Ovis aries: one gene and its partners. The protein of the gene in region 2 purifies or fractionates together with the protein of the main gene of each other region. This does not show direct contact. Links are inferred from orthologs where the notes say so. Each region holds a gene or a part of one and is shown on either strand. Other genes may lie near its edges. The genes, in order: CCT8, ILK and SDF4.

Evidence for each region.
Region 1: the proteins of ILK (region 2) and CCT8 purify together in Homo sapiens (affinity purification with mass spectrometry; 4 studies listed by BioGRID and IntAct, with this or other methods). This does not show direct contact. The link is inferred for Ovis aries from reciprocal best matches to the Homo sapiens genes ILK and CCT8.
Region 3: the proteins of ILK (region 2) and SDF4 purify together in Homo sapiens (affinity purification with mass spectrometry; 3 studies listed by BioGRID and IntAct, with this or other methods). This does not show direct contact. The link is inferred for Ovis aries from reciprocal best matches to the Homo sapiens genes ILK and SDF4.

What each region holds. Positions count from the first base shown.
Region 1 is NC_056054.1:127,698,991-127,702,736, forward strand, and holds the start of CCT8 (T-complex protein 1 subunit theta), read left to right. Parts: upstream 1-1,247; 5' UTR 1,248-1,306; coding exon 1,307-1,366; intron 1,367-3,292; coding exon 3,293-3,383; intron 3,384-3,746. UniProt on the Homo sapiens protein: Component of the chaperonin-containing T-complex (TRiC), a molecular chaperone complex that assists the folding of actin, tubulin and other proteins upon ATP hydrolysis.
Region 2 is NC_056068.1:46,202,988-46,206,733, reverse strand, and holds the start of ILK (integrin-linked protein kinase), read left to right. Parts: upstream 1-1,216; 5' UTR 1,217-1,404; intron 1,405-1,726; exon of another isoform or gene 1,727-1,731; 5' UTR 1,732-1,753; coding exon 1,754-1,842; intron 1,843-3,650; exon of another isoform or gene 3,651-3,746. Other genes in the region: RRP8 (ribosomal RNA-processing protein 8), read right to left, coding at 856-954. UniProt on the Homo sapiens protein: Scaffold protein which mediates protein-protein interactions during a range of cellular events including focal adhesion assembly, cell adhesion and cell migration.
Region 3 is NC_056065.1:50,591,787-50,595,432, forward strand, and holds part of SDF4 (45 kDa calcium-binding protein), read left to right. Parts: 5' UTR 1-46; coding exon 47-351; intron 352-2,285; coding exon 2,286-2,422; intron 2,423-2,716; coding exon 2,717-2,830; intron 2,831-3,646. UniProt on the Homo sapiens protein: May regulate calcium-dependent activities in the endoplasmic reticulum lumen or post-ER compartment. Isoform 5 may be involved in the exocytosis of zymogens by pancreatic acini.

The DNA of each region.
Region 1 (3,746 bases), on a different chromosome or scaffold from region 2:
GGTTCACATACCAGTTGGTTAGAGATGCCTCGCAAAAATATTTTTTCATAATTATGCACTTAAGTGCTAATTAGAAAAAGTTATAGTACATGTAACACATTTGATTATTCCTTAAGACACACTAAATCTGTCCCGATTTAAGGAAAATAAATCATTTGCAAGTGTCTGACCAAGGAACAAAAGACAAGCCAAACGTTCTATTCAGTTGTCTATATTTTCTACTAGGAGAGTGGATTACTTTCACTGTGTGAAATTATTCTTTGAAGTATTCTGCCATTATTCAGTCTTTTGAAATCAGTCATGTGCTGATGTGGGATGACACAGAGGTCAGGTTTTAAAGGACTGTGGGAAAGTAAAAGGGGTTTATATTTCCAAGAAAAAGCAGGAAAGGGATTTTCCAGGTGTTCCAGTGGTTAAGACATCATGCTTCCACTGCAGGGGGGCGGGGTTCCACTCCTGGCGGGGGAAATAAGATCTCACATGCTTGTGGGGCGGCCAAAAAACAGAAGAAAAAAGAAAAGGAGGAAAGAGGAATACAGTTGCCTAACAACGTGCATTTTGCAATCTAATCTGGGTAGAAATCCTAGTTTTAACACTACTAGCGCTGTGATCTTGTACAAACTAAATTGTAAATTGCAAAGTAATTAATAAAAGATTGACCACTAGCTAAGATACCGCACATAAAGCAAATAACGGGGCCTGGCACATATGAGCACTCAGTACGTAGTTTTCCTTTCAGATTTTCATTTATCACCTTCAAGTCCCCAGAGCTGCTACAGGGCCCAAGTCTGAGCGCAAGTTCAACCACAGATTTGGAGGATGAAGGCAGATCCTCGGCCTCGGGAAAAAAGGGGTGCCCACCTGGCTGATATCGTGGGAAGCTCTGGAAGATTTACACGGAAGCTACTCTTGGAAGGAGTTGCAAAACTCAAGGACAAAACTGACAACATTCAAAAGTCCCCAGCACAGAGCCTATGAGTCTAAGCGAAGGGAACGACCTCCGGGAGCGAGCCACATCCGCCAGGCAGCCTACGCGTGCGTCGGCAGGAAGACAGAAGGCCCAGCCCGATCGAGCCACCCCATCGATCGACCAGCTCGAGAATCGTCAACTCAGTTCTGGCGGCGCTAACTGCTCCTTCTCGCGAGGCTTCACAGACTAGGCCGCCGGGGGAAAGGGCGGGACCGGCTGAAGAGAAAGGAGGGGCGTGAGCCGGCCGCACGCTACGTTCCCAGGAAGCTGTGCGCGCCTCTCGTTTCTTCCAGGATCTCCTGAGAGGGCGCGTGAACGGCACCCTGCAGACTGGTCATGGCCCTCCACGTCCCCAAGGCCCCGGGCTTTGCCCAGATGCTCAAGGAGGGAGCGAAGGTAAGAAAAGGAGGAAGAGGGAGTGAGGTGGGAGAGCCGCGGCGGCCGCAGTCAAGAAGAAAAGCCTACCAACGGGCCCGGCGTGCCCACCCGACATAGCGGTCGGAGGGAAAGAAGATTCCAGAAACGGAGGTGTTCTCTGGAGAGCTTGGCCGCGGAGGGCCCCGGGCATTTCGAGTTTTTTTTTTTAAATGAACCCGGGAGAGGGGGGCAAGCGGCCAGAAACGGCGAGTGGACGACGAGGCCGCAGGCGGCGCGTTTTTTGCTTTGTAGCCTTACAGGGTGTGAAGGCCGCTCTTTGCATTTTTCCTCCGTCAGTAAAACGGGAGTGAGGAGGCTCTCCTTTGAGGGGCGCGAAGTAGGTGAAATAACGTAGGTGAGGTTGCTTTGAGTACTGCGAAACGGTTCCAGGAGCGGGTGGTCCAGGGAGGAGAGGGACGAGGCAACTCTTGCAAATGAGAAACGGCGAGCTCCCCATTTAGTTAGCAGAAATAGTGCATTATAGGATAAATCTTAGTTACAATCCCAATGGGCTCTGTTCTGAACTTAGCCAGCTTGAGGTAAAACTTAATCCTCTGGGTCTTACTTTCCTCATCTTTCAGTTGGGGAGATTGGACGGAAATAGTTGTAACCAACAGAGTAAGTGACACCCTGAGCTAAGTAAAGCTTTTGTTTTATGGCGAGATCTTGAAAGTAATTTCAACAGCATGGTTTTTTGTTTGTTTTTTTAATGTCTTAGACACACTGCTGTAAGTGTGTCTCTTAGGTTCAAATAGTTGCGTTCCCTTATTGTCACCCAGACTTGCTGTGCTTAAACGAATGTAGATACTGTGGTTCCATTTGTGGTAACAGTTTGAGGGAACTAGGTTTCTTGTTGGCGAGGATGCACTTTGGGGATAACGTGACTCTAGTAGGTAAGGAGGTTTACTGTAAGTATTGGTGAAAGAGCTTTGCTGAAAATGACATGAACTAATTTTTTTTTAAAAGGGAAGTGGCCGTATTTTTTTTATTCTGAGGCAGAAATAAGTGACCAAATAAGCAGAAGGATAATTTCAAATAATGATAAAGGAAATTGAAAGTGCGCCTCTAAAAAAAAATTATAAAGGAAAGTTTGGGGTAGAACAGTAAATAAAATGTTAAGGAAAGAACTCAGCTCTGTGCTTAGTGGCCAAGATTAAAGGCAGAAATGTTTCAGGCTAAGGGACCAAACTCACTGAGGATGAAGTGAGTTTGACTTGTTAAAACAGTAAGAAAAAAGATGTTCACATGAACAGTAGGCTCTTGAAATTTATCTGAGACTCACAAGTAAATCCCATGTCTAAAAGAAGTTCATTGTAAAACTTGAAAATTTGAGTACTGTGAGCAGTTCAGTTTTCAGTGTATACACGTTGGAATTAATGTGTACAAACGAACAGTTTGTTTCAGTTCAAATGAGAATTCAAAATCTGTATGCTTTAGTTCTAAAAATGTATAAGGCAAATATGTTAATTCCCTTTGAACATAGACCTGTTGACTCTACAGTGCTCAGGTTTTATCACATTCATACCACATTTCGGCTTTTAGAAAGAATTGGTAGACTCTGGAAAGGTATTTTTATAATCTGCAATGGTTCATATGCTTTCTCTAATCAGGCTTAGCACTCTTCTCTGCACTTTTCACTAAACTAAAAAAAATTAAGCTTTATGTTTTGATGTGTAAGTAGGTACTCATGGTCCCTAAAAATGTCATGCCTTATTCATTCAACTTGTGGACAAATCTGTGAATTAGGATGGTATCTGGTATCATAGGAACACCAAACACCATGCTTTACATACATAAATCTCATTTGATAATGTCAACAGTCTTTTGAGACAGGTACTATTATTTTACAGATGAAGAAATTATTGAGATTCATTGTCCTGCCTAATCAGAAATTTTCTTCTACAGCATTTTTCAGGATTAGAAGAGGCTGTGTACAGGAACATACAGGCTTGCAAAGAGCTGGCCCAAACAACTCGTACAGCATATGGACCAAATGGTAATTTCTAAATTCATGTTTAAAAAAAAATACAGTACTATAATATAATTTTGTGTAGTAGTTCTTTGAAACTTGTTTGAGGATATTATATGTAAATTGAGAATTTTAGCCATAATACACTGTAGTGTTGAAAATCATTTCACAGTTCAGTAACTCCTGTACAGTTTTCCTAATCTTTAATCAGCAGTTTGGATCTTTTTAGAAAAGTTGTAATCAAAATGTTACTTTTTGTCCTATTGAGAGGATAGAAAAGTTATGGTGCTTTCACCTTTGAGGTAGTACCATTGTTACAGCTGTGGAATAGTTCTCTTAAGTAAAATGACATAATTTAAGGGAGAAAAATTCTCTCTTGCTTCCCATCAA
Region 2 (3,746 bases):
GTGACCGGGAGTTCCAACTCTCAATCTCAGGTTTCTACCTCTAGCTAATACCTTTTTATAAAAAGTAGGAAGATTTTTGAAAATAAGAGTGACATGATCACACATGTGTGTATTAAAGATGCCTCCAGTTGCAGTGTAAAGAACCGAAAGAAAAAAAAAAAAAACACTGAAAGAGACAAGCTGCAGACAGAGGCCAGTGGCGGGGATTACAGCAGTGGGTCGAGGGGTTGAAGAGGAGAGAATAAAGCAGGCAGATTTCATGTCACAGGCTGACTGAAGGACAGAAAGAGCCTGAGCAAGTGCAGCAGCCCTCACATCGGCAGAGGCTTAAAGGAGGACTACTGTCTGGGAGGCCGTTCTGGACTAAGTCCCACTGGACGGATCCCTCATCCTGGAGACTCTCAGTACTCCCTCAGCTCCAGCTCCCTTTGAACAGCGGCACTGACAGCCCTCGTTGCCATTCAGTTTTGCTCTTTTCAATCTCCACACGGCAACCAGTGACATTTTCAAAACGCAAATCTGAAGAAATCATCCCCCTGCTAAAACACTCCATTGGCTTCTATCTTTAACGTGCAAATATTCTAACGTAGCCCTCCAATTTCTACCACACTGCCTCTCATTCTGTGTCATGCTCCCTTGACCCGGGTCTCTCCACATGCCTTTCCTTCCAAGAAACCCTCTTTGCTTCACTAACTTCTACTCACCAATTCTCTCTCAGTTCCAACGTCACTTTCTTTTGGAAGTTCCGGATCTGGGGAGGCTGCAAGCGGCCCCCCTCCCCCTAATTACACACGCGGCGCGCCCCAGCTCCGGAATCCAGCAGTCTGTTCTGAGTACTCCTGCAGGGCCACTCACCTTGATTTGAGAGGTTGCCGTGGGCCGAAGCCCTAAGGCTACAGACCCGAGGTCCGCGACTACAGGGGCCTCCTCGGCCCACTCCGGCTCCTCGAACATGGGGCTGGGGAGCGCAAGGTTGCGGGATCCACCCGCTTCTCCACGTGCAGACCACGTCTCTAAGAATCAGACCGCTCAGAGACGCCGGAACAGGGCAGGAAACCAAAGAGTGAGAGCTGAAGTGGCTAGAGCAGCCGGCGCAGTGCCGAAAACCATCGAGTTTAGACACTGGTGGGCTAGAAGGGCAAGGAAGGCGGGAGGGAGGGGCCGGGAGAAGGAGGCCCGCGCTGGCCTGAGAGGGCCAGGGGCGGGGCCGGGCGGCGGGCGCGGCCGGACGGGAGTTCCCCGGAGAAGGCTCCTCTAGCCCGAGTCCCGGTGAGTGTGGGGGCACCCGTGCCCCCTCCCCAAGGCTCGAGCTTTACCAGGCGGTCACCCCTCCCTCCACCTACTCGGTTCCGAGTCGGGAACGAGGGCCATCCTCGGCAAGGACCTCCGATCGCCTCCTCCAGGGTATACGGCGCCTAAACTCCCCACCCCCACCCCCCAGCTCTGTTCGCGGGTAGGGTCTCTGTGCTTGCTCTCGTGACATCCCTTCGGAAGACACTACCTCTTCATCAACGCCTACTTCGCCCGATCCGCCTTTCCCTCGCGCTCAAGGGACACAGTCCAGGACCATTCCGCTGCCTCCCTAACTCCTTACAGACATCCAGTAGCTGGGGACGCAGAGCCCAGACCCCCAGCCCAACACCACACTTCTCTCCTGTAGGGGACAAAGCCTGGGGCTCACCCCCCCCCCCCCCAAGATCCTTCTACAGTTCCCACACTTTCCCAGTCTAGGGGACTCTGCCGGGACGCTGCTATGGACGACATTTTCACTCAGTGCCGGGAGGGCAACGCGGTTGCGGTCCGCCTGTGGCTGGACAACACGGAGAACGACCTCAACCAGGGGTGAGCTGGGGTGGCTGGGGGGCGAGAGGAAGGGCAAAGACATGCTCCTCTCCGCTCTGTGGGGTGCTCACTTCTGGTGCGGGCGGCTTACTTTCCTATTCAGTGTGATGAGGATTAAACAGCCTGTCAGCGGGGCAGAGGGTCTCCACACCGGAAGCTGTTGTTTGAGCTGAATCTTGACTGAATAAGAATTTACAGGCAGAATCTGCAGAGTATTCTAACTTCAGTGAACCTCATGGGCAAAAGCTAGGGGGCAAGACACGGAGCAGAGAGTGCCAGAAACTGTCCGGAGCTCCATATGGCTAGAGGAGAGAAAACCGCTGGGCTTCTGTGGGCTAAAGCTCTAAGCACAAGTGCAGAATGACAGAAGTTAAGACTGGAAAGGTCTGCAAGGGTCAGTCAGATCATGCAAGAGTATTTAGGCTATAATAATTTTTTATTGCAAGGGCAAGGGTTTAGAGCCATGTAATGGTACGATGAGATTGTCCATTTGTTAAGTGTCATCTTGGATGCTTTATGAAGAGCAAGTGGTGATGTGAAGAGAGGCAACTAACTGCCTAGTCCATCTCAAGTGGTGATGGCTTAGACTAGAATTGGGACAGGCAAAAAAGAAAAAAGTGATCAAATTCCTGAGATCTTTTGGATAAAGAATTGGTGAGACTTGGTGTGGAAAGTGAGGTCAAAGATGATGATCAGGGTTCTGGCTTGGGTAGATAGTGGTTCCTTTTATTGAGAAGGACAAGGCTGAAGGGTGGTGAGTTCCACTCTGCACACATTTAAGTGACAATAAAGTGGATGTGGAGTGGGCTGCTGGATTTCAGGAGAGATCTGACTTGGAGACAAAGATTTGGGCGATATTAGCATGACTGGAGAAGGCAATGGCACCCCACTCCAGTACTCTCGCTTGGAAAATCCCATGGACGGAGGAGCCTGGTAGGCTGCAGTGCATGGGGTCGCTAAGAGTCGGACACGACTGAGCGACTTCACTTTCACTTTTCATTTTCATGCATTGGAGAAGGAAATGGCAACCCACTCCAGTGTTCTTGCCTGGAGAATCCCAGGGACGGGGGAGCCTGGTGAGCTGGTGTCTATGGGGTCGCACAGAGTCGGACATGACTGAAGCGACTTAGCAGCAGCAGCAGCAGCAGCATGAAGATGGGCTTCCCAGATGGCTCAGCAGTAAAGAATCTACTTGCCAGGGCAGGAGCTGGCAGGAGATGCGGGTTCAACCCCTGGGTCTGGAAGATCCTCTGGAGTAGGAAATGGCAACCCACTCCAGTATTCTTGCCTGAGAAATCCCATGGACAGAGGAGCCTGGAAGGCTGGTCCATGGGGTTGCAAAGTCAGACATGACTAAGCATGTACACGCATGCACACACAGACACACACAGCACGTAGATGGCACCTGAAGAGGTGGATATGAAACCGGATGAGAAACCTAGAAGACCAAACAGGAAAATATGCTGCTGCTGCTAAGTCGCTTCAGTCGTGTCCGACTCTGTGCGACCCCACAGACACCAGCTCACTAGGCTCCCCCGTCCCTGGGATTCTCCAGGCAAGAACACTGGAGTGGGTTGCCATTTCCTTCTCCAACGCATGAAAGTGAAAAGTGAAAGTGAAGTCGCTCAGTCGTGTCCGACTCTTAGCGACCCTATGGACTGCAGCCCACCAGGCTCCTCCATCCATGGGACTTTCCAGGCAAAAGTACTGGAGTAGGCTTAAAGAAGTGAATGTTTCAATGAAAGGAGTGGTCAGTGGTACTCTAGATTGCTAAGAGGTCAAAGAACTTGAGCACTAAAGTGTAACCATTGAATTTACAATTATTTATGTATTTAATGATCTCTGTGAGAGCCGTTTCAGAGGAAAACAAGTGAAAAAAACCAGACTATACTTGGTTCCTTCAT
Region 3 (3,646 bases), on a different chromosome or scaffold from region 2:
CCTGGCCACATCTGCAGCCTGTCCCGCATCGCAGACCCTGGCGGCCATGGCCTCCAGGCAGGCTCCCCTCTGTGGCCTGGCTCCTTGCTGCCTCTGGCTCCTGGGTGTTGTCCTTCTGATGAATGCGTCCGCCCGGCCTGCCAACCACTCATCTGCTCGAGAGAGAGCAGGTAATAGGGAGGAAAACGAGATCCTGCCTCCGGACCACCTGAACGGGGTGAAGCTGGAGATGGATGGGCACCTCAACAAAGATTTCCACCAGGAGGTCTTCCTGGGCAAGGACATGGATGACTTTGAGGAGGACGCAGAGCCTCGGAAGAGCCGGAGGAAGCTGATGGTCATCTTCTCCAAGTAGGTGTCACTGGGAGCTGTGGGGGGCATGGGAGTGGCTGGCCTCAGCCCCTCTGTTGGTCCTGCCCTGGTTTTGCACCAAGTCCCCGCTTGGTGCCATGTTGTGGAGGTGGAGCCCTAACACGTGCTCTTGGGAAGTTGGCAGCATTTCAACCATGGATGTGCAGCCCTGAGCTGCGCACTGTGCCCACCCAGGGGTGGGAGTGGGGTTCAGGTCATGGGGAACCCCCCAGGTTGTGGGGAAATGCAGAAACTAGCCTCCAAGGGACTGGATGTCCTGGGGCTGACCAGATGTGCTCCAGCCCCGTCCATCCACACTGTACATTTTTGTTATACATCCTGTGTCTGGCGGGGTTGTTTTGGGGCGAGGGGTGTCTAGCCTGCATTTACCTTCTTGCTGACTCCCCACACACCTGTCTCTCCCACGTGGGGCCCCATGTTTTTGCCATGTGTGAACTGCTGTTTCCTTGCCTGCCCCGCCCGGACCAGAGCAAACAAGAAGCCTCAGGACATAGTTTCGAGCAAGCAGAAGTAATGTTGCCGCAGCACTTCTTAAGCGAGGTTTTTATTTTGGGAGCAGTTTTAGATTTACAGAAAAGTTGCAAACCGAGGCACATTTGTGGAAACTAAAACACGGTAGCGCTCCGTTACTGTTCCCGGTACTCCAGGCTTCAGGTCACATGCTGCCCCAGGGTCCTCTTTCTGCCCTGGATCCCATCCAGGATCCTACCTTTTCGTGGCCTTGACACCTACGAGGAGGACTCCTCAGGTGTTTGTAGCATGTTCCTGATTTGGGGTTTGTCTGCCGTGTTTTCTCCTAGTTGGACAGGGGTTGTGGGTTTTTGGAAAGAAGACCCCAGAAGTGAGGTGGCCCTCTTGTCACATCACATCAGGGCACCTGATGTTTGCATGACATCATGGGGGCTGTATGCCTGGTCACATGGCTCAGGTGGTATCTGCCAAGGAGAGTTGCAGTCTCTTTGGCAGTCTCTGGTCTCTTTGGCAGCCACTCAGGGAGAGGCAGCCCACCCTGCTGGGGGTGGGAGCTAAGCTCAGGGAAGACCCACCGTGTAGTCTGGAATTCCATGAGGAGGACGGACTTGTGGGTGTGTGTCTGCACTCTGGAGGGGACCCAGCTCTGTGCTGTTTGTCTGGCTACTTCCCTGTTCCAGCCTTGGCTGCTCATCCGTTCCATCCTTGGCCACCAGGACATCATCAACCCCCAGCTCCTTGTTTTAAGCACTTCCTCCCTTCCTCGCACTGCCAGCCACTCCAGCTTCACTTACTCATGTAATGTTCCTGCCGCAGTTCTCCAAGGAGCGCTAGTTTATTTCATTGGAGAGTGAGATTTAGAGATGAAGAACCAGGCAGTGGGTGTGGGCATTGCTGCTGGGGTGTCATTGCTTGTAGTCCTCTCCATGGACTTGATAACATATCTGTGCATGCTAACCTGTGTGTACATTTGTGTGCACCAAGTCACACATGCGTGTGTGTTCTGAGCCACATCCATGGGTGTGCATTAGCCATATACACACTCACATGTGCACATCTCTCAACACACCTGCATCTACAGCTGTTTCTTTGTCTTGCTGGCTGTATCTGTGTGTCAACTTGCCTTTCCCCTGGTGTCTGAAATCCAGTCCTGTTATTGGGGCTCACTGGGCTTGCGTCCCAAGTGTGTGGTCCGAAGAACTGGGTTGATGATGCGCCCCATCCTGTAGCAAGGTGGTCCCAAGACTGATGGTATAGGGCCAGGCGCACTGCCCAGCGTGCTCCCTGATTCCCCCGTATCTACTCAGCTTTTCCTGTGTGCCCTTCGGGTGGGATGTGTTACTGTTGGTGGTGGTTTCATTCTTCCTGTGGAGCCCCTCTGGCCATCCTTCTGTCTGTCGGGGTCCTGGAGGCTTCGTCTGACGCAGCCTGTGGGCCCGCAGGGTGGATTTGAACACCGACAGGAGGATCAGCGCCAAGGAGATGCAGAAATGGATCATGCAGAAAACAGCTGAGCACTTCCAGGAGGCTGTTGCAGAGAGCAGGGCACACTTCCGAGCTGTGGACCCTGATGGTGACGGTATGGCCAGCCCATGACCTGACCCTGAGGGGCCTGAGGCTGCCGGCAGAGGACAGCTCATGGGCAGGAGTAGGGCTCCAGGATGAGGGAGGGTGGGGGGTGCCACTGGCTGTGCAGATGAGGATCTGCACGGCTGGGCTCAGGGATGAAACTTGAAGCTGGTGCTTTGCTGCTTCTGCCTCTATAGCTGCCCGTGGCACAAAGATTTTTGACCGATGGCTTAAAATAACTAAAATTCTCTTTTTAAAAAAGGTTCCTTGTTAAAGCTCCTAACAGGTTGGTCTGCTCTTTCAGGCCACGTATCTTGGGATGAGTACAAGGTGAAGTTTTTGGCAACCAAAGGCCACAATGAGAGAGAAGTTGCTGAAAAGATAAAGAATAAGTGGGACCTGAACATCGATGAGGAGAGTGAGTGCTTAGCTCCCACGGCTGGCGTAGCACCGAGACAGTTCAGGTGCTGGGCGGGGCATGGGTGAGACGTGGCCACAGCCTGTGTTCCTGCAGGCCCTTGAGACAGAGCCTCCAGGACCCTAAGGCACGTTGCAGGGGAGGCGCAGGGACAGACGGCAGCCTCTAGTGGCTTGAGCTCTGGGGAGGAGGTGGCAGATGGTACCAGAGCACTGGGAAGTGGGTCTCGGCTGGGACTGGTCCTCAACCCTGGATGAGGTCTGATCCTGAGAGTCAGTGAGGTCATGGGGGCGCTTGCCGATGGTGCCTGGCGACCGTGCTACTGAGTGTGGCGACAGATGTAATTCTCCCCTTAGCTTTTCAGAGAAGTTCCTCTAAAAACCTGTCTCACTGATACACAATTTGATGCCTGTTAGCTGAGTTCTGAAGCATCACTGAAGTGTTGTTAGGACGTTTAGTGATTGCTGTCTTCAGCTCTGCCCTCCCATCCCTCCCTCGGGGTTTGTTCTCAGCCAGGTGTCGGGTTCGGCTCGATGGGCATTGTCAGAGCGTAGCACGCCATCTGTGGTCTCCCGTTCGGTCTTTCCTCGGCACGTCATCCCCGCCGTTGTCATCAGTGTGTTGTCATCTCTTGATGGACTTGCTCCAGCTGTTCCTGAGGCATTCCCCGTTTGTCTCGTGCCCGCCTGGCCGTCGGGATTGAGTGCATCGTGGCCTCCTGCGGGTGCCCGTGGCCCTGCCTGCCTCTGCTTTGGGAGGGCCAGTGCTGCTGTATTTGGTATTTGTAGATGCACTGTGGGCACCACTGTTCTTTGT